Caenorhabditis elegans: one gene and its partner. The protein of the gene in region 1 purifies or fractionates together with the protein of each later gene. This does not show direct contact. Each region holds a gene or a part of one and is shown on either strand. Other genes may lie near its edges.

The links.
Region 2: the proteins of malt-1 (region 1) and Y73F8A.26 fractionate together in Caenorhabditis elegans (co-fractionation; one large-scale study listed by BioGRID). This does not show direct contact.

What each region holds. Positions count from the first base shown.
Region 1 is NC_003280.10:6,940,911-6,957,355, forward strand, and holds malt-1 (Mucosa-associated lymphoid tissue lymphoma translocation protein 1), read right to left. Parts: upstream 10,391-16,445; 5' UTR 10,390-10,390; coding exon 10,268-10,389; intron 10,215-10,267; coding exon 10,133-10,214; intron 10,086-10,132; coding exon 9,995-10,085; intron 9,836-9,994; coding exon 9,667-9,835; intron 9,625-9,666; coding exon 9,464-9,624; intron 9,415-9,463; coding exon 9,191-9,414; intron 8,896-9,190; coding exon 8,796-8,895; intron 8,748-8,795; coding exon 8,635-8,747; intron 8,587-8,634; coding exon 8,513-8,586; intron 8,306-8,512; coding exon 8,191-8,305; intron 8,144-8,190; coding exon 8,047-8,143; intron 7,974-8,046; coding exon 7,824-7,973; intron 7,533-7,823; coding exon 7,444-7,532; intron 7,399-7,443; coding exon 7,066-7,398; 3' UTR 6,945-7,065; downstream 1-6,944. Other genes in the region: flcn-1 (Folliculin), read left to right, coding at 1,802-1,867, 3,816-3,938, 5,219-5,340, 5,521-5,887, 5,935-6,036; ceh-38 (One cut domain family member), read left to right, coding at 11,160-11,197, 11,243-11,554, 11,603-11,705, 11,834-12,149, 12,272-12,758, 12,873-13,119, 13,253-13,339, 13,469-13,819; tra-2 (Sex-determining transformer protein 2), read right to left, coding at 14,709-15,473, 15,523-15,906, 16,047-16,195.
Region 2 is NC_003282.8:15,467,091-15,484,019, forward strand, and holds Y73F8A.26 (Leprecan-like alpha-helical domain-containing protein), read left to right. Parts: upstream 1-6,569; 5' UTR 6,570-6,643; coding exon 6,644-6,807; intron 6,808-7,226; exon of another isoform or gene 7,227-7,247; intron 7,248-7,511; coding exon 7,512-7,660; intron 7,661-7,714; coding exon 7,715-7,953; intron 7,954-8,837; coding exon 8,838-9,144; intron 9,145-9,196; coding exon 9,197-9,414; intron 9,415-9,563; coding exon 9,564-9,743; intron 9,744-9,793; coding exon 9,794-9,967; 3' UTR 9,968-10,422; downstream 10,423-16,929. Other genes in the region: ntl-11 (CCR4-NOT transcription complex subunit 11), read right to left, coding at 441-642, 1,436-1,486, 2,555-2,790, 3,661-4,173, 4,229-4,392; fdx-2 (2Fe-2S ferredoxin-type domain-containing protein), read left to right, coding at 5,727-5,861, 5,909-6,018, 6,079-6,343.

The DNA of each region.
Region 1 (16,445 bases):
TGGTTTGGTTATGCTACATGTTGGCGGCTAGCAAGCTTTTGCTCAGCGACTGCTACTGGTGCACAATGGCAATTATTATTGTTATTATTGTGGTGGAGCCTACAAAATAGACGTCGTTGCTCATTGAACTTTTTTGACTTTTCAGTTTCTAAAGTCAGAAAATAGATATTTTTGAGATAGTTAATTCCAGGCTTTAAAGTAAACATGGAAAAGAGAAGGAAATTTAGATTTTTCTTACAGCAACTATGACCCCTCTCATTTACATCTTCACTTCTTGTTGGTGTGTGTGTGAGTGTGCGGCGTGTGTGTGTGTAGTGAGTGAGAATTTGTTTGAAACACATAAAATTTATACACACACAAATAGGACGGAAGAGGTCTTCTCGCCACACATATATCGCTCACAGGAATAAGACTGAGTGGGAACGAAAAGAGACAAAACTAAAGAGAGAGTAGGGCAAGTATTATTTGTCTGTTTTGTGGATGAGAGGTGAGAAAAGTTTGACGAGGCGGAAGGAGGAGGCGGCGGTGACGGCCAAATAAATACCAAAAGATCTATCGAAAAACGGTTTGAAGGATCAATTTAGTCATTTCGAAGATCTCCCCTCGCCCACCCTGAAAATGTTTTCCCATTGGCTCAAGGAAGCTGCTCTTCGAACTTAAAAGAGCAACGTGTCTTCTTTTGATGATTTTGAAGTAGGCGACAAAGGCTCTACTTCTCAACATCTCTCAATATCTTTTCGTTTTCTCTTTCTTCTCTTTCTCACATACATACACACAACTCATTGTCGATTCTATGCTCAATTATTCTAAATTAGGCATACGCTAGACTACACATTCGATTACACACGCTCGCTCACTCGCTACAAGATGTTTTTTTAGAATGGTAGATTTATGTTTAAAAAAGAGTCAATTTATAATAGGAACATGTTTGATAAAATCAACAGAGGGTAACAATTTAAATACGAAAAACTTCATAAAAATGAACGAAGAAAAATATTTGAAGAGCATTGATCAAGTTGGCTGAGACAAATTGTGACCTTCTTCCCCTGAAAAGTAGTTGATAATTGCTTTATGGCATCTCCATCTTTTAGTTTATTGTTGGTCGTTTGCCTTCTTTCTCTCTCTCACTGCTTCCTAATACCCTTTCCTCCGTCTTTGTTTGGGTGGTATTATATGGTTTTGTACGAAGCTCTTCCCTTTTTCCCCTCCCTCTTCTCATCGTTTCTCAGTGTCGGCGGAGCGCACCAACACCAAAAGTCATGATTTGAGAAGGACGTTCCCTAGAGAATTCAACAGAGTAGTCAACGGGGAAGAGCGAAAAAAATTTCAGATTGTGGTGTGTTTGTATGTGTCAGTTGAAGATGGCAAATCTAAGTCTGATTTGGATAAGATTAGCCGCCAACATGTATAACGTCAAGCTAAGAAAGATCTAGAGGACATCTGTAATCCGGAGGGTTTTGGGAAAAAGTAGCAAATCCCCTGTACTTATCCGCACGAATATATTATGTGGAAAAAACGCGCTTCGCGGACATTTTAAAAGGCTCCGCCTCCTACAGTTGGGTCTCGTTAGGTGTTTGATGGCAACGCTGTAAAATCAAACGTGTTCAATTATCATCGCAGATTTCGCCGATTTGAAAGCAATTTTCAAGTTTTTTTTTTGTTATTTCCCTACGAGACCCAACTGTAGGGGGCGGAGCCTTTTAAATTGGGTATTGGTTCCCAAATCGAAAATGTTTCTACGTCCTCATAATAAAATGAAAATAATAATGATGTTGTGAAATAATTTTTTAAATAATTTCAGGTGCTCTTGGAACTGGAGGAATCCCAAATTGTGGAACTCGAACTGAGGCATCCAAACCAACACCTGGTAAGTCAAATATTCGGCTCGGTCATACTGTTAGCGCGCGGAACTCAGTTTAAAGCTGAGAGGCGAGACCACCGCACAAAAAACATGTCGCTTCACTCACTATTTACTCAATCCTCAAAAAGGCAGTCATCTCGTCGCCTTTTTTTTCCCCTTTTCGCTTCTAGCCCTCGTCCTCTCTTTGAAAAAATTGACGTTTTGCACGTTTTATTTAATATTGTTCCCAAAAAATCTGATCCATAATTTATTGTTCTCTGAACTTTGAATCTCTTTTTTGGTTATTTTTTGATTCTCAAGTCGTCTATATTTAGCTTCAATATGACTGAATGGTTGAGTTGAACAGCAAACGGACATTTTCTATTCCGTCTGTCTTTGATGACAAGTGTTCGAGGGGTACATACTCTACTAACTGCTCTCTAGTTGCAGTAGCAGGTGTTGATTCAAAAAAAGAATGAACACAGAGAAAAAGAAAGATAGTAAGTAGTGAATCACTCATTTTATTTTTCATTCTATTTCTTCATTCAATGTATTTTCTTTTTCTCTCCTTAGATAATATTTCAGTGCACATGTTGATGTGTTCTTACATCTGTCGCCAATAATGAATCATTTTTTATCAAAGATTGAAAAGAAATTATTGAGAAATTGTGCATTTTCGAATAGAACGTTTGATGAAACACAACAAAAATACGTAGCAAATGTTTCGAGACCACTATCTTCAAAGTGCTACACACATTTTCTTTATCAGTTCTCTCTCTCTCTCTCTCCCTCATCTGCATTATTTCGAAACTCCTTCACAGATGACTAGGACTGATACAGACATTTTTTGTTCAATAATTTTTCACGACTGAATGAATTTTAATATCTCAAAATTCTCATTTTTGACGTATCGGATGAATTAATTTCTATCGCATGCATAAGCTCTATGTCTCTTTGCACTTGAAAAACCTTCCAGATGGTCTGAAAAGCCTCTACCTCTTCATTTCCCCTTCTTTTTGTTCATCGCCGTGCTCTGTGAGACATGTCTGCGTCTCTTCGTCTCCATGTTCTCTAGCCTAACTCCGCCCATCCCGCTCGGCCCGCCGGCCGTCGATCCGTCGTTCGCTCTCCGCCGTCTCGTCGTTGCCTCGATTAGGGGGCGGGTACGTCCTCCTCTCACTTCGATCGGCCGGTCGAGCGAGTCTCAGTCGGCCGTGGCGGTGCGTTGATGCCTGCTTGTGTGGCCGAAAGAGACTCATTGGGCCTGCTCCGTGAATGTTGTTTTTTATTTCAAATTTAATGTAGTCGATAATAATTATCTATTAATAAAAACCATCGTAAATTCATTCGACATTTTATAGAATGAGTATATTTTGATTATAAAACAAAGTGTAGACTGATTGACGCCACCCTTTTAAATTTGTTTATTTCTCTCACCTCAGAGAGTACATACAATCAGTCATTTTGTATTTGTTGCCATTTTGATTAGTATATTCTTTATTTCCTTTGCTCTTTTTCCGAATTCTCTTGCATTTAAATAATTCTCACCGCCAGAAAACTTGCACGCAGTAGACCGATTCAATATCCCGGTACAATATCAACTGAAGAGTATGTGTATTGCTTCTGTATCATCATCTGTGGCTATTCAAAACGAAAAAATTCTGCGTGAAGAGATGCCACTGATCATTGAAATTCAGAACATTCCTCCATCTTTTATGATGCGTGTTCATGAAAAAAATGAGTCCGCGCTTGCAACTGAGCCAGATGATTTTGAAGGCTGCGAGAATGAAACCATAAAGGGCAAGGTATGTAGACTATTGAGATCGAACAACTTTTATTAAATACTAGATTGAATGTAAACGGAGGATAAGCCTTTGACAAAAAGAGAAGTCAGCCATGTGAATTTTATGGGTGGAATTGAGTAAAAAACAGTATGACCGAGAATTTATAAGAACAGTACCATCAATTCAGACAGTTTGGATTTCAGGTTTCAATGGCCCAGTTGGCGAATCTCAAGATCATCGCAACTCAACTAAATACTTGCAGCGAGCCTGGTGATCTGGATCTTTTAATTCGTCATATTGTCACTGGAGGACAGGTTCGTCAATTAAATATAATATAATCAGAAAAATCTCCACCGCAGCGTTAATATTTATGATTTTATAATGACCGTATCGTTAACGCGCATTTCTGATCATCTTATCAAATCGCACTTGCCCACGAAAAATCGTATCAATACCGTATCCCGGTTATTTCGTCCAAAAAGCATACAAAATGGTAGAGAAAAATAATAAACTAGAGTTCATTTGATTTTTTCTAATTACAAAAGCCCCGGAAATTCTAAAAGTTGAGCTAGTCATGTTCTCCCAATATTTTTCCATTAAAATTTAGTGAGAGAAAAAAATTGATCTATCTAAAAATAATGTTTATTTAAATTGAAACAATTGAAAAGTTCTTAAAAAATTGTCTGAAAGTTGAAATTTTCTTTTTTAATTTTTTTTCCGGCAATTTCCAACCTTCGGAACATTTTTGAGCACTTTTTCAATTTTTCCAACTAAATAAAAAACAAATTTTCAGATAAAGCAAATATTTTTTCTATTTAGCTCATCTTGTTGAATTGCAATGTCGACAAGATCGAATTTTCGTGACTTGCTGACATTATTTTAAAAGTGCCCCTCTAAAAGCGCCTTAGCCTTGTCGTAGCAATTAAATAACAAGCTGCATTCTCGTTTCTCTTTGACAGAAAGCTCCGTTTTATTACCTAAGCGCAAGAAGTGAGACTCGTAAAAATGTTAGACGAACCCCGCGCCGAGACATTATTGTGAATTGGCGAGCTACGGAGCGGTGATTTGTGATCGGATCGTGAGAATCAACCGTATTCATAGGTACTGTATGCGCATTTTGATGTCATTATTGGTGGGATAATGGATGTGGAATGAGGCGGACGCCACAAATAACTACACTCATTTTTACCATTCCAAATTCCCTGTTTATGTCAAGTATTTGAGTTCCTTCCGAAAAACATTATGCCAGCAATAATAATAGAAAACCACCAGATGTCAGGGACCAAGATAAGTCTGTTTGGAGAATAGAAAAATTGAAAAGTGGGAAGAGAAGAAGAAGAAGAAGATGCATAATAAATCTATTCCTCTGTAACGTTTCCAAAAATGTTTTGCTCAGACTTGCATCAAAAAGGGAAGAAAAAGAGTCAGCGGTAGTAGAAAGAAAAAAATGGAAGATTTATTTATTTCGTTTTGCTCCAGTCTTCTTAATATTTCCGAAATTGTTTAGATTTGAAGCTTTTGTCGCTCGCAGAAATTTATTGCTATTTGAAAAATTTTAAATTTTGCTAAAAACTTCTATATATTTTTCTTTCAGGTTGTCGTCGAATCGCGCGAAAAAGAATATTGCCGTCAATTCTTGCTTGCCATCTCGAATTTACTCCCAATTGGATGCATTAAATTGGCAACATACAAGGAACAGTACCTGCCCGAATACAGGTGAACTTTTGTTCTTTGGTCATCTTAGTTATGAGCATGTTTGACCAGACAAAGGTGTAGTACTCATCGGGCGGAAAGGATGATGTATTCATTGTTTGACTAGACATTTGCTCCTTAGGATATCGGATCAAAACACAAATGATCAAACTATATACATACGTTCATATTAATTTTTTGCAGCTCTCGATTCAATCTCATTGGAGGCCCTCACAACATGGACATTCCACTCGAAGTTTCGGATGTAATGGTTTTTCGTGTTTCACCACGGGATGTTTCGATTGTTGATATCGAACAAATGTCGCTTGTGAACTGCGTCATTGAAGTTCGTCGTCGTCCGGAGAATGACGGATCGAATGGACCACTTCCCCGTATCGTGAACCGCTACCGTGATTTGCTTCTCGACTCAGATGTGACGGATACTATTCTCGAAACTGCACTTCGCACGACACGTGAAGGATGGATGCTCAAAGCAAAGATCTGCTACCAAATGACCAAACAGCTTTCACATCCCCAAGTATTCGAACACATCACCGGATGCGGCGTTGAGGTGCGTTTTCAATTTCCGCTGAATTATAAAAATTTATTTATTTTCAGGATCAACAAGTTGTTTCATACTGGACAGCTGGACTCTCGAATGCATACAAACTACATGTTCTTACTTCAATCCAACAGTCTCAAACCTCTACTGCTCGTTGATTTGTTCGATTCTTCAGTTGGCTTCATTATTTTTTGCAAGACGGCTGTGCCGTTTTATGCTCTTCATCTGGCTGTGCATCGTCGTAGTTGTCGTAGATAGTTTTACATACTTGTGCAAGCTTTTTCAAACTTTCAATCACTTCAATTTTCAAAACACAAAAAAATTTGACCCATTTTGTGCTACCCACTTCTTTGACTCGTTTCTCACAAACGTTATTCTACATTATCTATTCTGCGTTATTATCACTTCCCGTTCTCTTTTAATCATATTCATAATAACCCACCTCATGTGTTTCTTCTCCTCAATTTCCTTGACTCATAATATGATTTTTTTCTTACATTCTAAACATCTCGTTTTTCTTTTTTTTTCTATTGAATTCTTCAAAGTGTGTAGTCGTTCTAGCCGATTCCTCTTTCTCTCCTGATCCCCAATTAGGTTGAGTTGTCTGGTATTTTCATCATCTTCCAATCTGTCCAATTATTTGCCGTTTTCATTGGCTTGTTTTGTTTTTCCGGTAGCATCTCCAAAAACCAAATCCGTTTCCGTAATTTTCCCTACCTCAAAAAACGCGTTGCGCAGAGAATACTGTTACTGCCACGCCCCTTTATGCCCCCGGAGGGTTCATAAAATCTCCATTTGTTTTAATAGGCATCGGTGATATTCATGTACTATTCGCCGCGTTACACAATCGAGCTTTTTCACCCACAATACCATCTCTAAATAAGCATCTCTTCTCTCCACACCGTCCAATCATTTTCTCTATATATTGACGCGAAAATCTCTTTCTCATCCTTTTTGTCGTTTCTTTCCCATTGCTTTGTCTGTTTCATTCATTCACGATGGCGTATTCGTTCATTTTTTTCTCCTTCCATCGGTTTATTCGTTTTATATTAATTCATACACCATTACTTTACGCATTTTATTCATTGTAAAATAAATGAGATTTCGTTTCATTAGTACTACATTTCAATTGGCAAAAATAATTAATAATGGATTTTCGGACCCGTAGGTGTTCACATGGCAATGCATTACTGTAGACATTTGATTCTTGTAATCAAAATATGACCAATATCAACATTCTTCATCTCAATCGTCTTCTCTGGATCATCAACGTGTCTTAAATGAACTTCACATGTCAATCCGGCTTCTTTCTTGATTTTTTGTAATCCTGATAGAATCCATAACATTGAGACACCTTCTTCATCATCATTATATTCTCGAACATCAGAACAATGAAGCTCTTCAGGAAATTCAACAAATGCTCGATGATTCAATGCATTTTCACTTAATTCTTCATTTTCTCCCATATCGGTGTCTTCCTGGCAAGGACGGAAGTCTGATATTGATGCGAATACGTAAACCTGAATATTTTATACTTTAAAGAATTGAGGACATTTTCTAGAAACCTTGTTTGTGAAATTTCCACAAAATTGAAACCAAATCGTAGCGACTAATTGTTGAGTTTCAAAACGAATTGTTGCAGGCGTTGGGAGTTCTGGAAAATATTATACAATTGAAGAAAAATAGTACTTTATCAGTTCAATTTTGAATTGAATAGTCAGTTTTGAAAAAAAATCCTATGAATATTGATCAGCATTTCTCTGGAATTTGAATGCTAGGAAACCTTCTACTTTGGAAATTTTCTAAAGTTCCAAATTTTAATATTTCAAAATTCAAAATACCAACATTTTTGGAAACTTCTGAAAATTCCAAAAATTTCTAAAACTAGATACTATTTAATGCAATTTTGAAGACACAAGTTCCAGAGAAAAATCAAAAATCTCACCATGCATAAGTCTCCAATGTATAGTATGATTATCAAATGAAGCAGTATGTCCATCGAATATTAATGGATCTGCCAGACTTCTGGGATGTGTTAATGTACTTCGAATCTCGGGAACTTGAAGATCACAAACTTTTTGATCATCCCCAATATCTGCAAAAAATATAAATCAGAGTAGAAACTTTGGATAGTGTATAGTTCTCAGAGAAAAAGTTCATATACTTACCTAATAGTACTTTATTCAACATATCAATAACAGATATTTCCAATTGAACATGATTCTTCAAATATTTCATAAAGACACCATTCACTTCTCCTTTAACCTGAAAATAATCAATTTTTATAAACTTTTTTCAAATGAAAAAGAAACCTCATATGCTCCGACTCCACCGCTTGTAGAGTATCCATAAACCATATTTCTATGGGCTCGATGGAATTTTTTGAATTGTTCTGAATATTCCACAAATGCACTGATCGCATCATATCTGGAAATATTCAACTGTTCAAGCTGGCGATTTTTCTAAATACCGTATACTAAAGTTTTGGCATACTGCCAAATTTTTGGCAAATGTGGAATTTGAGAAATTTGTTGCCGGTTTTCAAATAAAAATGTTCTGATCATAATATCTTTTCGAATTATTTTAAATTTAACGAATTTGACAGAGTTACGCGAATTCAGTTTTAATACTTACGGAACAAATTTTCTGCAGACATCAAGAAGAAGCAAGTTCAGATCAGGAGTTTTATGACGGAAAATTGACAAAAGCTGGAATTGGATTTAGATTCTCTAAATATAGTTTTTATAGGTATTTACCCAATCCATACTCATTGAATGTTGTGGTTGATGAGCATCTGCTGGAGCATCAACACCAAGTAAATAACATTGACCATTCACTTCAAATCCATGACCAACAAAATAGAATACAGCTAAATTAAGTGTTCTTTTTTATATTTTTAAAAATCAAATATACCTACCGTATACTCCATTTCCAATCAATTTCTGATAAACTCTAATAAAATATCTCATTTCATCAAGTGTCAGATCAGCGAGAGTTACTGTTTTGTAGTTCATTTTCTGAAATAAAAAATTATTGAAGGAGGAGTAGTGCTAGTGGGGTAATTGTTAAAAAATCACGCTTGTGGTACTCAAATTGTATACTTTTAAATATTTTTGAAACTTTTTATTCCCAGTAAAACATTTAAATTATTCAGTTTTCACAAGCCAAAATGTTTAGTAAGTTCGGCATTTTACCAAAACTTTGGCTGAAAATTTTTAAAATACCCTATTAATCTGTCATTTTGGAGTATTATGATTGTATTTATTCAGATATGGAATTTCAAATATTTCTCCAAATTCAAAAAAGTGTCACCTGTAGTGCATCGGCCAAAGTTTGTGCATCACAATGAGGTGTTCTCAATTCAGGTAAATGTACATATGAACAATTACTCATAATAAGTGCAACTTTATCTGCTGCTCGAAGAGTTATATCCAAATTTGGACGAACTGGTGAAACTTTGTTCTCTGGCTTTTCTTGATCTTCTGCCAAAATTTGAGACAACCGTCCCATTTCATATTTCTTACACGATTCACATACTGTAAGTATTTCAGGTTAATATACTTTTCTGGAAATAAGTGAACTAACATTCGTCGTCTCTTATACAAGATGTTACATCAACATATTCTGATTCGATAACTGAGCTAAATTGTTTTCCAGCTTTTCGATAAATTTCCGAATATGGTGAGCCTTCCCGAATCTCATTCTTCGCTACACATTTATATTGATGTTCATTCGAGCATTTACATCTAAAAATCTCAGTCTTATTTATTATAAACTTCTTTTTTAACCTTAAAATTGTGTAAACTCTTCCAATATGCACCGGCTCTTTTGAGCCTTTTGTAAACCATTTTATCTCGGGACATGGAAATCCTTGAGCTTTGCATTCCAATTTAATATTTCCTTCGTCAATTTCTTTTGTAACTTGTTGTTCCGGATCAGGTATCCACCGTAGAGGCTCTTAAAATGGATATTTTTAAATTTCCGCTTGAATGGTGGCCTAGAAAATCACACATGGACTAGCTTTCTCATGACATGAACTCCTCTCGGACAAAATAACATTTAATTATTTTATTAGAATTATTTTAAATTTTATTTGGATTTATTTTTAATACTCACTGAATTTTCGTCGCAAATGAAATTGAATTGAATCGAATTCATCTTCATATGTTCTTGAAAGAAACTGCAATCTCGCTAGTAAGCTTCCAACCTGAAATAAGTATTTAATTTCTTCTCCGATTTTCTTTCTTTAATTACCGTTTGTCCGCGATTCCCCCATTTTCTGAGCACTTGTTCACAGCATTTTTCTCTCTTCAAAAAACTCTCAATTTCTGTGGATCTAAAGATAATTTATTAGAAAAATTATTTTTTTAAATTTAATTTAAAACTCACTTCATATAATAAATCGGGTCCTCATCGAATTCCACAATTTTAATCCAAATGTTATCTTTTTGAAGTTCTTCTGATAAAATTTTAAATATTCGTACAGGTAACTCCGCCAAGTTTGTGTTCATTCTGAAATTGGGGTTCAAGAAATTTATTTTTGATTTTTAAAATAGAGAAAAATTTTTTTTTTAAATTGCTGCCAATTTTGCTCTATTCAAAAAATATCAAGCTAAAATATTCAGTAATATATTATATTATGCTTCTTCCTTCTTCGCTCTCTGACATGCTTCTCGTAAATGCACATGCTCTACCGTCATTTCTCAATTTCCATTTAATGTCTGTCTACATTCTGTCAGGCAATTCGTTGTAAGACCCCATCATCATGTGCAGGGACTCCAAAGAAATCTAGATAGTATGGAGTATTGTGAGTGTCAGACATAACCAGCAAACGACTAGAGACGGACAAACAACGCGCGGCCACACTCTCCCTCTCCCTGTGGCCATCAGTATCGATCGGTGTCTAGTCGCAACTAGTATGTTCTCCCACTTTCAATACAAATCAATATCATTTTTTTTCAAAATTATCGATTTTTTGAAAGTTGACCAAAAAATTGATTTAAACTCAAAATTTTCAATTTCGCTCTGTAATATTGTATTTTTCAACGTTTTTTCCCCTTGGTGTTGTGTTTCGAATAACGAAATTCCCGATTCAGGAAGTTTGAGCTGTTATACTGAATATATTTTTTTAACTGCCAAACTCATACAATACCACTCAATTTAACTCATTTTTGTGCTGAAAATTTTTTCTCTTATCAAGTAAACATATTTTCAGAATCAACATATTTCTGAGCGTCATCGAAACCACTACTGAAGTTCAAATTATCAAATTTCAACAAAAATGGAGTCATCACGGACCGCCGCAACATCCACTAATGGGTAAGAGAATCCATGAGTTGATTTAATCAAATTATAATATTTCAGAACTGAGAAATCGCGTCGACGAAACACTGATTATCTACAAATTGATCCCTCAAGTACTTTTATAAATAACACCGGTCGGGGTTTTGCTGAAGAGCTTCCGGAAAACTTTCTTGACACAATCAGTCCACATCCAATAACTCCATCTGCCAGTACATCCTCTGCAACTTCTGCAACCGAAGAACCAGCTACATCCTCGGCTCCACAACTCGCCTCACTTGCACCAATGAGTATGAGTTCTGAACAACCGAGTAGTAGCTTTTCAAGTGCTTCGCTTCTTTCATCATCTTACGAGACTATAAAAAATGAACCTGAGTAAGTTATATAATTATTAGAAATTAGTTCATAAAATCTTTTATTCAGAGATTACAGATTCTCTGGAAGCACTGCTGGACTTCTCTCTCCACTTCATGTAGATTCACGGCGAAGAGAATCCCATGATTTCAATACTTCACCATATATTAAGGTACTTCAAAACGCTGTTTTTATTTAAAAAAAATTGGAAACTGTAAAAAGCAAAAATTAAAATGTTATGTTTTTCTGAATAAAACAAAAATCTTCATTTTAATAATTATTATTTTGATTTAATTTCAGGAAGAGGAAGATCTCGATGGAAGTCATCTACTAATGGGAGGAATTCGTCCAGATACACCAACAAATGACAGGTCAACAGATCTCGGAAGCATCTCATCGTTGTTAAATGAGGATCATCACACCAACACAATTGGACAATCTCCATCTCCTCGCAGTACATTCGGTTCCGATCCAACACCAATGATTCAACGGCAACTAATAAAAAATGAGGATGGCGTGTCACCAGGATCTATGGGTTTTTCCAAAAACCACCAGGGTTACCAGAAGCCAAGAAATGGTGATCGAATGGAATATGAAAAAGCTCCATATCAAAGAAGTGAGTTGCTTTTTGTCCATTATGTTAACCTATGTTCTGTTTTTGAACTTACCTTCCCCTTCCTAAATTTATTGTTTCATTTTACCTTTCGTTCACTAATTGTACTTACCCGTATGTTTTAGATTCTCGGAAACAAAAAAAGCCTCTAGGTTTGCTCAATCAAGCTCTATCATCAGTCATCTCAACGCCGACAATCTCTTCTTCCAATATTCCAACACCACCATCTGCTCATATTGCTCAGCCACGTCGCATCTACTCGACTCAAGACTCAAATGATCCATTGAATGCAGAGATTGGCGATGATATATATATAGACACAAAAGATCTTTGCAAACGTATAGCATTTGAGCTGAAAAATCATTCGATTCCACAAGCCATTTTTGCCGAAAGAATATTGTGTCGTAGTCAGGGAACTCTTTCTGATTTACTACGCAATCCAAAACCATGGAATAAGCTGAAATCAGGACGTGAGACATTCCGTCGAATGTACAATTGGGTTGCACAGCCATTAGCAACGAGATTGGCGATTCTTGATATGAAGACAGAAGATGTGAATAGAGCATCTGGAATGTCACCACCAACTCCAGCACAGAATGTGCGCACACATAGGTACGTTTTAAAAAAATTTCTAGTAGAATTCCACAATTTCCAATAGACTTATGCATTCATACAAACTGATTTATACATAGTTTAAAAAATTTCAATTTCTAAGTTTTTCCAAAGTTTCAGAAGATCTACTTCCGATCATGATGGACCTGTATCAAAACGACCTCGTCTCGTATTCACCGACATACAGAAGCGTACACTTCAAGCAATCTTCAAAGAAACTCAACGTCCATCTCGGGAAATGCAACAAACAATTGCTGAGCATCTTCGTCTTGATCTTTCCACAGTTGCCAACTTCTTCATGAATGCACGTCGTAGAAGTCGACTCGGTGGAAACATTGATGAACCGACGCCTTTCCAGCAGGTAAACTTCCTACCTACCTTAGATAAAATCTTCGCTGATTCCTTCAATTTTGTCTTAAAATATTTATGAAAAAATTTCAAATGCTAAACAAAAAAGGGTTTTTGAGTTCCATCGAAAATATTTGATATTTGAGGTGAAAAACATCAGTCCGCCACCTGTTGGGGATACATCAGATGCACTGTTGAACGGGGATGACCATGTTCCACTACTCAACACGGTGGTGAGTTGGAATAGTTGTCAGCGCTTCAGTTATTTATGAAAATTGAATTTAAAAATTACATACCTAGTCTGTTAAATATCAAAATTCAAAATTAAAACGATATGTATTTGCATAAATTAATTGTTTCAGATGGCGGAAATGTATAAAGAAGGTGCAATTGCAACATCGAATCATTCTGCTGAACAACGAGAAATGATTGAACGTGGATTTGGAGTATCAATTCCGGGTCCTAGTCATTCTGGTGAACTTTTGAATGGAGATTCACATGAAGATGATGAAGAACTTGATGAACTGAATGATAGTGAATTGGCTTATGAAGAAGATGTTGAAATTGGAGATGAAGAAGAAGAAGACGAAGAACAAGCTAATGGTGACATACTTCCAACACCAAAAGTTGAAGAACTCGAGGAAAAAACAGTTATCAAAGAGGAAGCACCTGATGACGGGGAATATGGCGCCACAAAGCTTGCAGCTAATTAAATGCGTCATACTGCTAAATTGAATTCAAATTCTTCACAACTTATTTTCTTATCGCTTGACAAATTGGAAGAATTTAGTTGCAAAAATATATTACCTTCCTATTTTCCATCACTAACATTCCTCTCGTCCTCAAAATGACCGGCATTAAATCTTACTTTTAAGTATATAAAATCTCTCGAAAATATAGAAAATATATTGATAAGCTATTCAAACGCCTCGTTGTATTTAAATTCCATCGTATCCTATTTTCAAATCCTTTTTGTAATATAAATTATAATAATCCCCCTATAATTGTTTGTGCCTTTTCACCTACCAATTCGCCCCTCCTTCCATGTTTTTGCCTTAATCTTAATACTTTTTCATAAACTGTATCGCACTTCCACCCAGCGCATCTCAATTTTAAGCACTCATTTCATTGCATTTTTCAATAGCCTTCCCCCTTCCAAATATTTAAATATTAGTGCAGGTTCTCTCACTTTTTCATTGTCCGGTAGAATATAATTTTGTTACATTATTCCACAATTCCTTCATCTTTCTCATCGTTTCAATATGTTGGAATCCACCGGCAGGTCCGTGCTCTTTCTCACTTCCTAATTTTTGAAAATAATTCAAATTTGTCATTGTTTTGACGCCCAGAGCATTTAAGTATTGCTGATTTATAATAAATGTTTTAAACTTATTACGTTTATTAACAAGAAAACAAAATTCGTAAAGATTACAAGTTGAGGTCGAGTGGACGATTAGATATGAGTAGATAAGAAATTAAATATGAGTAGATATGAGTAGATAAGAAATTAAATAATGAAATGGAAATTGTACAAATAATAGAAACGAAAATGAGTAAGAAATGAAATTTTGGAACCAAATTCTGAAAAAGGAAACAGACATTTTAAACCTCTGGGTCTGATAGGTCGCCTTCCCGTGCTTCATCTTGTTGCTCACGATGATTTCGTCTTCTTTCTTCTAGCAAATCGAATGCTTGCTGAGGAATCGGGATCGGTGGGGATTCGGCTGGTGGGACCCAGTTGAGATCTTCCGGTGGTGGTGTACGCTCGGTAATGTGATAATAATCGTACGGTCGACGGGGTACTTGAAGTCCTGGAGGTAGCTGTCCAGTTCGGTGTGTCCAGTAAATATCTTCGCAATATTCAACCATTGGACGGGTGAATGAGGCTGGGTATTGATCAGCACGCGGATGAGGTGGAAGGTTGGGGTCAGAGTGAGCTCGAATGCAATCTTCCATTGATGGTGGCTCGGTTAATGGATCTCGCCGATATTCTTCTGGAAGGACATGCTCCACAATATACAATCGACCAACTGGTGGAAGTGGTTCATCAACTGGAAGGTTGGCAGGTGTTCCTGGGAGATTCGGACTCTCTATGCTGTCATCCTGATTCTTCTTCGATTCACTGATCTTCTCTTCACTCTTTTCTTTGTCCAAATTTTCTTGCGACTTCTTCATCTTTTCAATGTTTCGAGATTCCCTTCTCTGTGCCGTAGATCTTTTATTCATCAAATTTCTTTCTCGATCTAGCATATCTTGAACCAGTTCGCAACCTTCATCCCCATCATGCTCGTCAAAATCATACTCATCAACTCCCAATTCGAAGCATTCCTCAAGAGCATTCATATTTTGTTCCAAAGTGCTTCCAGGCTGAAAATTTGTTTCAAAAATAACAGTTTTGATGGAAATGATAGCTTACCCCATTCCATGCAGCACTAGTGTTACCGCCTACTGACTTTCCAGAAACAATGAGCTCATAACGATTTGGAATATAAAGTTCAGTGTTATCACCATTTCCTCTGACACGTTTATTGCCGGTTTTGGGGCTTCTACGATTGGATGGTCCTGGCTGATTTGGGTCAGAATCCTCGTCTTCATCAGATGATCGACTTCTTTTCTTACATGAATATTTTGGTGGTGGAGCATAATATCGGCAGGGAGGAGATGATCGTTTGATTGAGAATTCGTCCAGCTCGACCTGAGGCTCGTCTAACGATGAAGCAAGTCTTTGTTTCTGCACCAAATTGTAGACCCGGACAGCGGTAGTGCTGCCCCGCAAGTCTCTATGAAGATAGTGTCGAACCTGAAAAGAATGTGAGAATATTAGAATGAAGATGAGATTATAAAAGAAGAACTACTGCTGCTGCCAGAGAAACTGAATATAATCCCGACTTAGACGACCAAATCTGATGGGCTTAATATTGAAAAGGAATCCATACTTACTTCACTTTCAAACATTTGTTTTGTTGCAATTGAAACGATGATTGAATTGAACACAGCGACAATTTGAATGACAATGAGGATTACTGTAGGTACGAAGAATATATTGAGCTCGGGAACGATGGAGCAGATGATCGCAAGTATGGAGAACGCTGAAAATATACATATTTAAAAATTACTATTTTGCAAAGATTGAAATTTCAAGTTATTGTAATTTCTTACAATTTTTCTATTACAAAGATACAAACATTAGCAATATTTGCACTAAAAATACGGTACCCGGTCTCGACACGGTCAATTTTGAGTTAAATGCGAACATGTGTGCGCGTACTGTAATTTCGAGGAGTACTGTAACTTCAAACCTTCCCTGCTGCGAATTTTCCCTTAAACCAGCAACGAGTT
Region 2 (16,929 bases), on another chromosome or scaffold:
CATTTTAAGCCTAAAAAGACACATTTTAAGCTCAAAATTGCAAATTTTAAGCTTAAAAAAGCACATTTTAAGCTCAAAAATCTAATTTTAAGCTAAAAAAGCACACTTTAGGCTTTAAAAAGACACATTTTGAGCTTAAAAAATGTACATTTTAGGCTTAAAAATGCACATTTTAAGCTAAAAAAAGGACATTTTGAGCTCAAAAATGAACATTTGAAGATTAAAAAAGCATATTTTAAGCTTCAAGTATATATTTTAAGCCTAAAATTGGGGCAAATTTCTGCCAATAAATTCAATTTTAAGCTCAAAAATCCAATTTTTGAGCTGAAAAGAGCACATTTTGGGCCAAAAATTCAATTTTCAAGCTAAAAAAAGGCACACTGAAAAATCCACTAAATCCACAAAATCCACACTAAAATCCACAAAAATCCATTCCGTACGTCAAAGTAGTTCCATCAAGAATTCGATCAACACATCCTTCAATAACTTCATCTTTCAAATCCACCAGCGGCATTGTCATTCCATCACGAATATCCAGAGCCGTGTCAAGCTCCAAATCTGAGCTCACTTCTGATGGTGGAGCCGAGTCTGATGATTGAGACATTTGATCATCACAATCGATTTGTTTATTTAGTTCTTCTACTGGAAATTATAAAAAGGGAATTTAGTTGGGAACACTGCAACTTTTTCCTCACGAGGGACGAGGAAAAGTAGTTTCTAGGCCATGGCCGAGGGTGCGAAAATCTCGACTTTTTCACCAAAAAAGTTGAATTTTGAAAACCTCAAAACTTTTTCAGCGGTCTCGTTATGAAAATCAGGTAGCTTCAGCATCTAAGCATCATATGTATCATGTTTCAGAAAAAGTTTAGGTTTTGTATTCCCGTAATCCATCATATTACAATGCCCACTTTCACCGCTACTTGCCGACTGATAACATAATTTTTTAACTTGGAAATTGTTTTAGCATCTGCAAAAAATATTTATTTATCAGTTTTAATAAGAAAAAACGGGAAAAAGCTGTGAAAAACGAAAGAAAACAGGCGGAAAACAAAGCAAGATAAATGGCCGCTGAAACTTGTCGGCCCCCTCGGCCATGGCCTAGAAACCACTTTTCCTCGTCCCTCGTGAGGAAAAAGTTGCAGTGGGGAAATGAGAGATTTTTTTTTTCACGGAATTCTGGCTTCCCCCTCATAAATTGAAATGGAAGAGAGTTTGTGTGCCGAACTAGGCCATTTTAGGTCGGCGGAGAGATTTTGTGTAGATTTACGGCGCGTTGCGTGTCGCGTCGCGGCTCGATTTTAGTTGTAAAACTGAATGTATTTGTCCGTGTGGAGTACACGACACTTTTCCACGCGTTGCCCAGCAGGCTATTGTCAATGGAGCGCGAAAAATATGCATAAGGACGGCCAGAACCCCGTGTTTTGTTAAAACTAACACTCTGGAGCTGTCATTCCGGCGATCAGATCTGATTGGTACTCGGCGATGGCTGAAAAATGGGGAAATTTGAGATTTTTTGGGGAAAATTTGAGGATTTTTGGGCTAATTTTGAACTTTTTAGTGAAAAAATTGAGGAAATTTGGCCAATTTTCGAGGAAATTTGGTTTTTAAGTGGAAATTGAGGAATTTTGAGCTTTTCTTGTGAAAAATAGTGAATTTTGGGCTAATTTTCGACGAAATTAGAGTGAAAATTGAGGAAATGTAGACTTTTTGGAGATTTTCTGGTGAAAAATGTGAGGATTTAGACTTATTTTCAAGAAATTTTGGGATTTTTTGGTGAAATTGATGAAGTTTGAACTTTTTTAGTGGAAATTGGAAGATTTTGAGCTAGTTTTGAGGTTTTACAGTATAAAATATGAGAATTTAGGCTATTTTATGATGAAATTTGGGATTTTTCGGTAAAAATTAAGGAATTTTAAGATTTTTGGTGAAAAATTGGGGATTTTGGGCTAATTTTCAAAGAATTTTAGGCTTTTTTTGGTGGAAATTTGAAGATTTTGGACTAATTTTCAAGGAAATATGGGATTTTTTAGTGGAAACTTAAGGAATTTTGCGATTTTTAGTGGAAAATTGAGCTTTTTTGGCAGAAATTTGAGAATTTTGTCCTATATTTCGGAGAAAATTGGAATTTTTTTTGTTAAAATTTTATGAATTTTGGGATTTTTTGGTGAAATTGGAAGATTTTGTGCTAATTTTGGAATTTTCTAGTGAAAATTTTGAGGATTTAGGTGAATTTATGAAGAATTTTAGGATTTTTTGGTGAAAATTTAGGGATTTCGTTCGAATAACCCGAATTTTTGGTTAAAAATCTCGAATTTTCGTGATTTTCCGTCATTTTTCCAATTTTCCGTGGGTTTTCACAATTTTCGCACTCCGAAGGCTCCGGAATAGCTCAATTTCGATAAAATCTGGGTTTTTGGGCTAATTTCGTTCGAAAACCCCGAATTTTAGGTAGGTTAAAAAACTCGAAATTTCTCGATTTTCAAGCATTTTTAGCCAATTTTCCGTGGTTTTTTCAATTTTTCAATGATTTTCGCTCCAAAAAACGAGCACATACTCGGCTCGAGCTCATCAAAAGCCTGCATAAGCTCTTCCTGCATCTTATCACCAGAACACATTGAATAGATCACTGGCGTTGCTGATGTATTCTCTGGATCTACTTTAAGCCGCCATTCTCGAATAATTGGATCTTCTTGCTCGAGAGCTTCCATTCTGGGAGGGAGTTGTGTTGGAGCATTGTGCATTATTGGATAGAAAGCTTCAGCCATTCCTGATTCGTAGTCCTTTCGTTCACTGGAAAAATTGAGTGAAAATCGGGTTTTTTAGGCATAAAAATCTTGTGAAAAGCCGCCAAAATTTTGTTCATTTTTGCCCTTTTTAAGCTTTTTTCCGGGTTTTTTTTTTGGGGGGATTTTTGAGGGGGAATTGATGACATTCCAGTGTTTTGAAGATTTAAATCACTAAAATCGAGTTATTAGGCACAAAAATCTCATAAAAAGCAGGAAATTCGCACTAAAACCTGGGAAAAATTGGGGGTTTTTGGGGAAAAATTGAGAAATTTAGGTGAAAATCGGGGTTTTTAGGCTTACATTCCTGATTCGTGTAGTCCTTTAGCTCACTGGAAAATGTGGGGATTTTTCGAGCAAAATTGAGGATTTGCGATGATTTTTGAAGTTTTTTTTCGGATTTTTTATTGGAAAATGAGGAATTTTGAGCTTTTTTAGTGAAAAGTTCAAAAATTTTGCCATTTTTAGTGAAAAATTTGAGCATTTAAGCTAAATTTTCGAAGAATTTTAGGTTTTTCTGGTGAAAATTGACTATGAGAAAGCTCGGGTTTTTAGGCATAAAAAGCTAGAATTGGCTCCAAAAACCCAAAAGAAAGGGGGATTTTTGGTGGAAATTGATGAAATTACAGTGAAAATCGGGTTTTTTAGGCATAAAAATCTTATAAAAAGCGGAAAATTTGCTCAGAAAACCCAAGAAATGGGATTTTTTTCGAATTTTAACGGGAATTTTTCGTTTTTTACGTTTTTCCCTCGAATTTTCGCGAATCATAAGTAAAATTGAGGATTTTTGGGGTAAAATTGGGTAATTAGTGTGTGAAATCGGTGAAAATGTGAAAAAAATCGAGTTTTTTCATGGAATTTTCTCGAATTTCCGTACCATCCCAGCTCCCGCATCGCTTTCGGCAACGGAACCACCGAATCATGAACTTCTGGCCAATGATCCGTATTCGCTTCACACCAATCCACAAAACCCGTCCGATCGATGCCCTCCACCACCACCGTCAATCCCCCCGCCGCCGCTTTTTGAATAAAATCCGGTGCCGTCAGCTTTTCGACCTGATTTATATTGTTGCTGACGATAATTCTCGCAAGCATCGCCTCAATTCGGTGCTCAATTTGCTCGGCGGCAAAAAGAAACGTGGCGTACGGATGGGAGTACACGTCGCTCAGATTTTTCGGCGGTTTTGGACGAAGTTCCGGCTCGAGATCGGGCAGGCGCCATACTATATAAATAATATTCAACCGACGAATCACATCATCCCTTTCTTCAGAATGAATCTCAAAACATGTGGCAAGAGCCTGAAAAATGGCTAGAGAGCAGCGATTTGTGAATTGTTCGACGAATGTGTTGCCGAGAGAGTTGAAGGATTTGTTTGTGGTGCGAATAAAGCTGGAAATTAATTAAATTTCTTATTTAAACACTGATTCTCAATAAAAAAAAATACTTTGAAATATTGGAAATATCAGTTTCCGAGAAGAACAAGTCCTCGTCTCGCTTTATATCCTCCAGCATCTCGAAATCGTTTTCTTTTTCCTTTTTTTGCGACTCGTGCGGTGGCGCTGCAGCGGCACCGGTTTTCTGGTTCTTCTTTGCCTTTTTTTTCGTCATTTTTGGCTGAAAATTAACGAAAATTACGGAGAAATTGATGAAAATTGAGTTGAAAATGAAATGAAAAGAAAAAAAAACAGGGAAGCGAAAATAATGCAAGTGCGCTCTATCTGCACGCCATAGAGAGTACGAGACGCAGAGATCGTTGGCGCACTTTGTGATTTGTTGACGTGTTTCTCGTGCATGCTGACGCAATTTTAGTTTTTTCAGCATTTTTTTTTTTGAAAAAATCCATACATTTCCCAATTTTCAGCAAATTTTTCAGTGAAAGGCCTTTTTTTCCAAATTTTCAGCATTTTTCCGGAAAAAATCCATAAATTTCCCAATTTTTCAGTATTTTTACGGAAAAATCCATTAATTTCCCAATTTTTCAGCATTTTTCAGTAAAAATCCATAAATTTCCTCTATTTTAAGAATTTTTACGGAAAAAAAATCCATAAATTTCCCAAATTTTCAGCTTTTTTTTCGGAAAAAACAATTATTTTCCCGTATTTTTAGCATTTTTCAGAAAAAATTCATAAATTTTCCATATTTTCAGCATTTTTTAAAGAAAAAATCCATAAATTTTCCATATTTTCCATATTTTCAGCTTTTTTCCAGAAAAAATCCATTAATTTCCCAATTTTTCGGTATTTTTCTGTGAAAAATCCATAAAATTATCAATTTTCAGCATTTTTCAGTAAAAATCCATGAATTTCCCATGCTTTCAGCTTTTTTTTTCAGAAAAGATCCAAAAATTTCCCAATTTTTTAGCATTTTTCCGGAAAAAAAATCCATTAATTTCCCAATTTTTCGGTATTTTTCATTAAAAATCTATAAATTTTCAGTATTTTTCAGAAAAAAATCCATAAATTTCCTATATTTTCAGCATTTTTTCGAAAAAAAATCCATAAATTTCCCATATTTTCAGCATTTTTCCGAAAAAAAATCCATAAATTTTGCAAAATTTCAGCATTTTTCTGAAAAAATTCATATATTTCTCGTATTTTCAAATTTTTCCAGAAAAAACTCCATATATTTTCAAAATTTTCAGCATTTTTCGATGATAATTAAAAAGAAAACAATGCAAGTGTGCTCTATCTGCATGCCGTAGAGAGTACGAGACGCAGAAATCGTTGGCGCACTTTGCGATTTGTTGGCGTGTTTCTCGTGCATGCTGACGCAATTTTCGATTTTCAGCATTTTTTTCAGAAAAAATCCATAGATTTTCAAAATTTTTCAATAAAAATGCACCTTTTTTTCAGAAAAAAAAATCATTTATTTCCCAAATTTTCAATATTTTTCTAAAAAAAATTCATTATTTTGTTCAATTTTTCAAATTTTCAGCTCTCACAATGTCCTCCGTGCTCAGGCTGGCGATGAGAGCTAAAGGTTTCAGTCGATTTCTAGCAGAAACCCAGGCGTTTCCCGTGAAAAATCGACATTTTATGACGTCAAGTGTGCGGAAAACTGGCGATTTTGAATATGAGGCAGGCGGAATTTGCGGAAAAAATTAAAAAAAAAAAGGAATTTTTAGGATCCAAAAAGTGAAGACGAGGTGGTGAATATCACCTACGTGTTACGGGACGGCACGGAACGAAAAATTCGCGGAAAAGTCGGGGATAATGTGATGTTTTTGGCGCACAGGTAGCAAAATGAGCAAAAATATTGGGATTTTTTTCTAAAAAAAAAACGATTTTATTACAGATATGACATTGAAATGGAGGGAGCTTGCGAGGCATCACTTGCCTGCTCGACGTGCCACGTCTACGTCGATCCAGCCTTCCAGAACAAGCTCCCGGAGCCGCTAGAAGAGGAAGACGATATGCTGGATATGGCTCCGGCGCTCAAGGACAACTCACGGCTCGGCTGTCAAATTGTGCTCACGAAAGAGCTCGACGGAATCACTGTAACCCTGCCGACAATGACACGCAACTTCTATGTGGACGGGCATGTGCCGAAACCTCATTAATTTCAATTTTATTCTTGTGATATTCATCATTTTCTATTCAATTTCCTGAAAATTTCGAGTCTTAAAACGAGATTCGGGTTGTATTTTTTCCTTGTTGCTCAAAATGTTTAGAGTTTATATTATTAAAAATCGCGCTCGCTTTTGACCTTTTACTCGATATATTTATGTTGTAATTTCTCTGCGTCTCCTCGTTTTCGCACGATCACTCGCCGAACAGACACCCTCCAGATGCTGCTCTGGGCCCCCAACAGCCGGTCAATCAGGACAACTTTTAACTTTCCACTCAAATTGACCACTGAAATGCTGCGTTTATTGATTTTTCTCATATTTCTAGCCGATTTTTCGCTTTGCCAGGACCCGAAAGTCACTTTTGAGGACTATTTTCAGTTTGGAAAAAATGAGTATACGGAGAGAAATTGGCCCGATTGTGTGGCTTTTATGAAGCGAGCAATTGATGATTTTAGGTGAATTTTTGAGTGGTTTTTAGCTTGGAAATTGGAAAAATTCGAAAAAATTACAGAAAAAACCCTGGAAATGTCTTTTTTTCGGCTAAAATAGGCGAAAAATCACAAATTTCCCGCAAAATTAATTAATTTTCAGGAAAAAGAAATTTTTTAGCAACGTCGCTCTATTGAGAAAATATTTCGGCGGGAGTTTAAAATTCAATTTTGTGGTTTTTTCGAAGAAAATCGCATAAATTTGATCGAAAAACAGTCTGAAATAGCGAAATTAACCCAGAAAAATCGCATTTTCACTGAAAAATAATTAAATTTATAAAATACCGCCTATGCAAATTCACTCTATTGAGAAAATGCTTCGGCGGGAGTTTAAGATTTAATTGTTTGGTTTTTTCGGAGAAAATCGCATATATTTTAATGAAAAACGCTCTGAAATAGCGAAATTAATCCAGAAAAGTTGTGTTTTTCACTGAAAAATAATTAAAAAATACTGCCAGTGCAAATTCGCCCCATTGATAACACTTTTCAGCGGGAGTTTTGAATTTATTTGTTCTTTTTTTAGCTTTTTTGAAAGTAAACTCGTGCTTTGCGTCATTTTCTAGTCTGAAATAGCGAAATTACCCAGAAAATTCGTGTTTTACACTGAAAAATAATTTAAATTCTCTCCCATGCAAATTCGCCCCACTGATAAAATCATCTTTTTTTTCTAGACAATACCAAGACGACGTGGTGAGTTGCCGCAGAAAGTGTAACCGGCAGATCAAACCTGCCACGTCATCCTCGCCAAAAATCGCAAAATTCCACGAAACAAGTGAAACTGCACTGTGTCTTTTGAGATGCCGGAAGGACATGTTCGGAGGTAGTGATGATGCATGTGCACTCCATTGCTAAAAAAAATTCCCCCGAATTTCAGATCATCAATCGATAAAGAAAATGTCAGTGTACCATGATTTAGAGGAGCGCAAGCCGTATCAGTACATGCATATCTGCTATTATCATCAGGGCGAGCTTGCGATGGCCGTTCAATCGGCCTACACGTTTTTGGTCGCAAATCCGGATGATAAGGATATTAAGCAAAGTTTGAATTGGTACATGAATCGCGATGGATATTCGGATGATATGCTTATCGATATGGAACGGAAAGATCATGAGGTTCGGGGCTTGGGGGTCTTGCAACGATTATTTAAATAAATGTTTGGAGTTTAAAGGTGCATTGTGAAAAATCACTGAAAAATCTTGAAAACTCCCCGAAAATTGATTAAAAACCCTCGAAAATCAATAAAATTTCGTCAAATTATCCACTTTTTTTTGTGATTTTCCGAGATTTTTAGGCCTAAACTTAGGCCTAAAATATGTATAATTCAAGCCAAATCCTCCCAAAATAATGATTTTTTGAGATTTTCTCAGTTTTTTTCCAGGTTTTTATCATTTAATTCTGCTTCAGCTGGCTTCACAACCATTTTTCAATTCTCAAAGCAAAATTTGAGCTAATTTTAACTAATTTTGTCAAAAACTGACCTCCAGACTGCAAAAATCTTGAAAAACCACGAAAAAAATTGGAAAAACCTGCAAAATTGATTGAAAATCATCAAAAATAGAGAAAAATTAATCGAATTATCCACTTTTTTGTGATTTTTACCCACAAATTGGCCACTTTTCACAGGGGCTTCTGGCCTTCTCCACACGGACAAGTACATTTAGTTTTTCGAGCCGCAACGCGGCACGCAACGCGCCGTAAATCTACCCCAGATTTGGCCGAGCTAAAATGGCCTAATTCGGCACGGATTTCTTGCTTCCCTCATAAGTTGAAATGGAAGAGTTTGTGCCGAACTAGGCCATTTTAGCTCGGCCATATCTGGGGTAGATATACGGCGCGTTGCGTGTCGCGTCGCGGCTTGCTTTCAGCTGTGAAACTAAATGTATTTGTCCGTGTGGAGTCCGGCGGGCGATTGTCAATGGAGCGCGAAAAATTCAAAAATTCAATGAGGAAGGCCAGAATCCGGTGGCCGAGTTTTTCTCACACCTCACTTTTCTAGGCCAAATTCATCAACGGCGTCGAGGCCTACGACCAACAAGACTGGGGTCGATGTGTCAACGAATTCGAGTCGGCGCTCGAAAAATCGATAATTCAAGACGAAAAGTGTCGGCTGCTCTGCCAGGATAAAATCGATTGGAGCGTCGTTGACGGCAACCCGGAAATCGATATTTTGTTGGCAAGTATGAGAGCTTCTGTGATACGCTGTGAGCACAACTGTCTGTATAAGTTGGCGAGGATCAACGGGCATTATGTAGGACATTTGTTTGCCGCGCACTTTGAGTACCTGCATTTTTGTCATTTTAAGAGTGAGTTTACCGCCTAAAAAAATTCAAAATTCAACAAACAAAAAAATTCCAGTGCAGCGGGGCGCTGAAGCGGCTCAAACTGTCGCCAATTATCTCCTCTTTGACGACAGCCCATTGATGAGACGAAATCGGTATTTCTACGGGAAACAGTACAAAAAGAATGAGCTCTTCACGCCGAGCCAAGAAGTTTTGGATATTTATCGGCGAAGAGACCTTGAAGCCCGATTTTTAGAGTTTATGGAGAAGCGATTCGTGGTGAAGGACGGCGAGGTGAGTCGAACCCGCGGCAGCCAAAAACTGGTTGCGCGCGAGACAAAGCGGTAACCGACTGCGCCACGCATGCATGTCCAAGCAACAGAGAAACCAGTGTGACATGGTTGTGCTTATAGTTAACTTATAGTTAAGTTGGAAAATTGCAGCTCCCACCAGAACAAGCCGACGACCGTAACCCGTTATCACTGGATATCCACGTGGAGGATAACTTCCCATACGAGCAGATTCCAAGTTTGATGACGTCATCAGAGTGTAAAATCCTCCGCTCAGCGCTGGACACCAGAGAACGGGACGGGTTTGTGAAGGAGTTGGAGCAAAGAGTCAAGGTTTTGTTTTTTTCAAGAAAAAGTCTTTAAATAATCCCTAATATTTCCAGCTCTGGCCAAACTCCTCATATTCCAATGTGACCTGTGGGAGCCCAGTCCGTGAAGCCCAGTGCTCCAGAGCCATCGTCTTTTCGGCGGAGCACAATGACTGTGGAGAATGGCTGGGCAAATGGTTCAACGGATGTGCTGTCGTGTTTTGTGATGAGAAGAAGATTATTGATTGATTTTTGTGCACTTTTTTTGACATTGAAACTAATTTATTTTGTTAATTTTTAAAAATTGTAATACCAAAAAAGAAATCCAAGAGTTATGTAGAAAAGATGAAACAGACAATTGTTTTATTTTCAAAATTTTTATTAAAATTGCACTGTTTCACTAATTTCATATAAGGATTGAAATTGTTAAATAACTAATCGAAAGGTTGTAAAATTGAAAAAAAAAACATTGACATAATTTTCAAATGGTTTTTAGTTGATTTTTCAAAAAAAAAACTTCTAAATACAGTGAAAAAAGAACAATTTTGCAATTCTGGTGCTCAGAATATTAAAACTATTTATCGTTTGAATTTTCAGAAAATGCTGAAACAGAAAAATGTTCAAAATTATTTTTTCCAACTATTTTCAAGATGTGTGTAAATCAGTAAGTTGTACGCAAATCTGAAACCCAATAAAATAATCTCACTTAAAAATTACAATTTCTAAGTTCAATTTTTCCTGTTTCACGCATTTTTTATAAATTCACTATCACAATCTGCAATATTCTCGTTTCTTTTTGCTGATTTAAAAAAAAATAAACTGAAATATTAGTGATAATACTAGTTCTAAAAAAGTTTTTAAAAGATGCTATATTAGAATAAAGTCGTGGAAAAAAAATTTATGACAAAATTTTAAACCGAAATTTTTTCAAATCTAAAAATTGAATTTTTCCTTGTAATGTAGGTAATGGATACGGAATAGACCTGACAAAAATAACAGATCAATTTTCAAACGGAAATGTTATAGGAGAAACGCTTAACAAAATAACAAAAAGTACGAATTTTTAAAATTTCTTTTTTCTGCCCTGAAACGGTTGATTATGAATTTTAAGACAAAAAAATCCCTGTTTCATGTTTACAATATTTTGCTAGCTCTTTTTTGAATTGTATTAAACTGGGTTTTTTCTATGGCAAGAATGATTGAAGCACCATTAGTTTTTGAGGATCCGGGTGGATTTTTATTTATAAATTAAAAAGGAAGTTGTGTGTTCTAAAATGCTTCAACGACATCTCGCGGGTTTCTCATGTTTTTGAAGGTTTTTCAGGGTGAGTGGGGGGTGCTTCCTTGGAATATTTTTTAAAAATAAACTCGTGAATATTCCAATTATCCTAGGTTTGCAAAATGAAAAGAAGAGAACAGCGTACAAGGAGAATTTCGTCTAACATAGATATAAAAGTTCCAATTTAGAAATGCAAAAATTGAAACAGTGATTTTTTGAAACTTTTTCAAAAATTCACAGCTATTCATTCAAACTCAAAATTGGTCATTGTGAGTTTATATGAAAAATACAAAAAAAACAATAATTTGAAAATGATTGTTGAAAAATTGCAAGGTTTCTTTGAAAAAGTAGTTAAACAGAAATTATTTTTAACTACGCTTCATTGAAATATTCTTCTTGATTCTTTTTGATAACGTTTTTGATGACGTTTTTGTTCAAATTAAATTTAATACAGTGCACTCAAGTTCTATAGGACTCCCCAAAAAATAAATCCAAGAAATTCAATGAAAATATAGAGTTTTTCAACATTTTTCTAAAATTTCTTCGTTTTCATGCGTGTTTTGAATTTTGAAGTTTTTCAAAATCTGTTTTCAATATCTTAAATTTTGCAAATTTTTAAGAGAAGCTAAAAGGCTAGTTTTCGTTGAGTTTGGCTATGTTCAAAATTTATCTTCAAAAATTACAATTTAATTAGTTCGGCAATTCTAGTTAAAAAAATTTTGAGAAAAAAAAGAAAGAATTTGAAAATATTTTACAATTGCCGAATCGCCGTTTTTCTGTTTGGCTTCCATGTTGGATAATGTTTCTGATCTACACTTTTGTGTTATTTTCAAAAAAAAACAATGCTTCATATTATTTTTATAAGTTTAACTGAAAATTATATAAACGTTTATAGGATAATACCGGATTTCTATTAAAAATGCTCAATGTTTAAGATATTTTTCTGTCTTACAAACTGAATACTTTTTTTTTGCCGAATCCCAAAAATTCTACACCCCTTGAAATTAATAGCTCCATCTTAAAGGCTAATATACAAAAACCAAAACTTGGATTTCAATAGTGTAACAGTTTTTGAGTTTTGCTAATGATCTAAAATTGTTTCCTTGATTTGTTCTCTCACCAGTTTTTCTGTGTTTACCTGAATTTTCAGAAATACCAATTAAAAAAAAACATTATTTTTTACTGTTTCTAAAACACGATTTCAGATTGCCTAACTTTGAACAAATCGTTCGTCAATTCATACCTTGTTAATAATATGAATAATTGATTTCTGCATTTTTAAATTCGTCTAGAAAATTTGGTTTATAGGTAAAATAACCCAAATACATTTTGTTTCGAAACTAAATATCTACCAGTTTCAGTTTGCAAAAAATCTGTTTTATATCAGACATACTAATGTTCATAAACTGCAAGGTTTTTTTTGAATATGTAGTGAAACATAAATAATTTTGGGAAATCTCGACAGCCAAATAACTTAATTGTTTTCTGTCAAAAAATCATCATTAACTATGATATTAAATATTATTGCTAAAAAGTGCGTATTCCGTCTGTCTATAGTGTATTGCCTGTGACGTCACACTTCACAGAGAGCAGCTGTGCTGGAAAACATGCGAATTTTGGCCAATTAACGAGTTTAAATTTTTTAAATGAAAAGGATCTACTGGGATATTTTGGTAAATAAGTATTATTGTTTTACTTACCAAATACGACAGTTGCGGAATTTTAAAATTTTTGATAACCGGCTCTTTTCAAAAAAAAACTGCCAAATTGCAGAAGTATCGGATTGCCGTTCACCCCTAAAATATTGACTTCTTGTATCAGGAAAAAATATTGCTTTTTTTTGTACTTTAAAAGTACAAAATTTCGGAAGTTTTGCTCAATTTTTTTTGTAGTGTAACCGTGTTTGGCTAATAATTCAAAATCTTTTCTTGATTACCTTCTCACTAACGAACTAATGTTCATAAATTGCAAGGCTTTTTTGAAGAGGTAGTGAAACAGCAATAGTTTTGGGAAAAAAAATGGTTTCGATCTACGCTTTTATTTAATTTCAAAAAAAAAAGTTTCATATTTCTGTTTCACAAACTGAATAGGTTTTTGCCGATTTCCAAAAATTCAGCATTCTCAAAAATTATAGCTCCTCGTATAGGGCTAATGTATTAAAACCAAAATTCGGATTTCAATAGCGTAACAGAGTTTTGTGTAATGATCTAAAAATGATTGCTTGAGCTGCTCTTAACGGTTTTACTGTGTTTTACTGTTTCGTCAAAAATACTAATAAAAAACAAAATTTGTTTACCGTTTCTACGAGAGAATTTTAAATTGCCTGACTTTGAACGAATCGTTGCTCGCATGATATAATTGATTTCTCCATTTTCAAGTTCGTTTAGAAAGTTTGGTTTATAGGTAAAATAATTAAAATATATTTTGTTTCAAAACTAAATAACTACTGCCAGTTTAAATTTGAAAAAAAACCGTTTCATATCAAAATTTAGAAACATTTATATATTTCACATGCTCCATATAAAGTCTGAAACTGTTTTAAAAATAATATCGAAATTTTTTTAAGTTTAATAAACGAACTTGAGCACAGTGGAATAAAAAATATTTTTTACAAAAAAAGTTTCCAAAATACCTCTGAAAATGTCGAAAATAAAATTTTGAAATAAATTTTATTCAAGATGCCAAGTACACCGGAAAAATCCGTCAAAATTATATGAAAAATGTGAAAGTCGCAGAATTTCTCGAAAGATTCAAAAAAGTTGACGAAAAAAACACTGATTCACTAAAATACGAGTAGCAGTAAGCGTCTTGAATAATCAAAATTTAATTACAACTATAGAAACATTATCATTTGTCTGATTTTTCTTCTAATCGCTCATAAACTTTAATTTTATGCAGAGTTAAACTTATTTATCTGTCAAGTTAACCAATATCCAATGTTTGAAATAAATTTGTTTTATTTTTACAAAAATCACTGTTTCAATCTTAAGATTAGGTTTTAAGATCAATATTTGTACAATATTATTTTGAATGGGCGCAGGAATTTTTCTCCAAACTTCAAGAACAAAGCCAGAGGGTACGATGAATTGACGATGTGAGCGGACATCATCTGGCACAACGTTCTGAAACAGGCTATTGTCGAACAAAAACATCCTTTTATTAATTAAACTTTTTTGTAATTTGACATGCTAATAGATATTCAATTCTAATAGAGAATATTTGCAAGCCTATATAAAATCGATGGACTAGTGTTCATAAATTGCGTTTTTTCTTTAAAAAAAGTTGTGAAACAGAAATAATTTTGGGAAAATTCGACAGTCAAATAACTTAATTTTTTTCTCAAAAAATCATCATTGCCTATTATTTTAACTACTATTATTAACAAGTGCGTATTCCGTCTGTCTAAAGTTTATTGCCTGTGACGTCACACTGCACAAAGAGCAGCTGTGCTGGAAAACAGGCAATTCGGCAATTATCGAGTCCAATTTTTTTGTATCTACTGGGATATTTTGGTGAATACATATAATTGTTATTCTCACCCAACACTTGAAAATCTGAAAACTTTGATTTTCATTTTGACATTTCGACAGTTGCCAAGTTTGAAAATATTTGACAACCGGCTCTTTTACAGAAAAAAACTGTCAAAGGATTGCCGTCCACCTCTAAAATTATTGGCTTCTCGTAACAGGAAAAAATATTTTTTAAAAATACAAAAATTCGGAAGTTTTCTCAATTTCTATAGTGCAACCGAGTAAATAGAAAATTTTCTTTGAGTTGTTCTCAACGGTTTTGCTTTGTTCATTAATTGTCAAAAATACTATAAAAAATTACTGTTTCTAAAACACGATTTTCGATTTCCTAACTTTGAAATTGTTAATGGATCTGTAGTTTGTTTGTTTGTTTATTCGAAATTAGATAAATAGTAACAAAATGTAGTACATAGAAGATCAACGGGGAAAATCGAATAACACATAAAATAAGAAAGACCCGTCAGAGTCCACCGTCAATTCATCGTACCCTCTGGCTTTGTTCTTGAAGTTTGGAGAAAAATTCCTGCGCCCATTCAAAATAATATTGTACAAATATTGATCTTAAAACCTAATCTTAAGATTGAAACAGTGATTTTTGTAAAAATAAAACAAATTTATTTCAAACATTGGATATTGGTTAACTTGACAGATAAATAAGTTTAACTCTGCATAAAATTAAAGTTTATGAGCGATTAGAAGAAAAATCAGACAAATGATAATGTTTCTATAGTTGTAATTAAATTTTGATTATTCAAGACGCTTACTGCTACTCGTATTTTAGTGAATCAGTGTTTTTTTCGTCAACTTTTTTGAATCTTTCGAGAAATTCTGCGACTTTCACATTTTTCATATAATTTTGACGGATTTTTCCGGTGTACTTGGCATCTTGAATAAAATTTATTTCAAAATTTTATTTTCGACATTTTCAGAGGTATTTTGGAAACTTTTTTGTAAAAAATATTTTTATTCCACTGTGCTCAAATTCGTTTAATAAACTTCCCGAAAAGTTTTTCGACATTATTTTTATAACAGTTTCAGACTTTATATGGAGCATGTGAAATAGATATGTTTCTAAATTTTGATATGAAACGGTTGTTTTTTCAAATCTAAACTGGCAGTAGATATTTAGTTTTGAAACAAAATATATTTTAATTATTTCAACAAAATATATTTTAATTATTTGTAACAAGAATAATTTTAACAATTTCAAATACAAGCTTCTGTCATCTATCTTCAAATTTCCCTATTTAAATTTATAAAGTTGTGCAAAAATATCTGAAAACTGGAATAATTTTATATATTCTGTTTCACTACATTACTTTAAATGTCTTGTTTTTATTTTATTTAGTTCCGTTTGAATATACTCAACTTCTCTGAAAATAAACTACTCGGTGGCCGAGAAAAGATAAAATTCGGTCACCATTTTCATATCACTGATACGCTGAATTGAATAATTTCCTTGTCAAATTCTAGTAAAAAAACTTGCCGCTAAAAAAGTTCGGCCACAAAATACATTTCAGCCTGTTCAATCAGGTTTTCCTTAAACTTAACCAAAATATTTTTCCCTGTTTCGTATTTCCTATATCACTTTCCCGATTTTAAAAATTCCTCAATTCTTCTATGATTCCACAAACTTTTTTCACGGCTCAATTATATTTTTTATTTGAGTAATTGAGAAGAAGTTGTCTGTGTGCATTTGCTCCAACTTTTTCATCAATTCTGTACATTTTTTCTCAGATGTTTCAACTCTATAAAACGATGGACGAGAATCTTGTTGGCATTATTTATTGGAGCATCAACAATTTTGTTATGTTTCACACATTTACTATAATTTCATACATTTACTATAAGATGCTCCAAAAACAATATTCGAATAGGAAGTTTATTGATGTTTATGTGATACCGCTTCACCTAATCACCTACAAACTTTTGAAAAAAACAGAACGTCATTAGCAAGAAAATAATTTTCAAATAACAAATAGAAACTGTATGAAACAGTGAAAAATTTTGAATTTTTTCAATTTGTTTTTCTTGCTTCTTGTACTTTTTTTAATTTCTACCTAGATAGTTTCGGGTTTTCCGAGTCACTACTTTTCACCAATATTTCATTGCAGAAATTCTCAATTTTTGTGAAATTAGTGAACCAATTCGGAATTTTTATATGTATGCTTGGTCTTTGTTATGAAAACAGTAATATTGGTTAGAAACCTGATGTATCAAATTAATAAAAAACGTTAATCTATATTAAGACTCTAGAAACAGTGAAAAATTTCCAATATTCATTTGTTTTTTTTTCTCAACTAATTCGAACCTGGCAGTAATTTGAAAAACGAACGGAAATGGGAAATGTAGTTTTTGAAACGGTAATTTTTTGTTCGAACTAGTTGTAAATTCGATGAAAA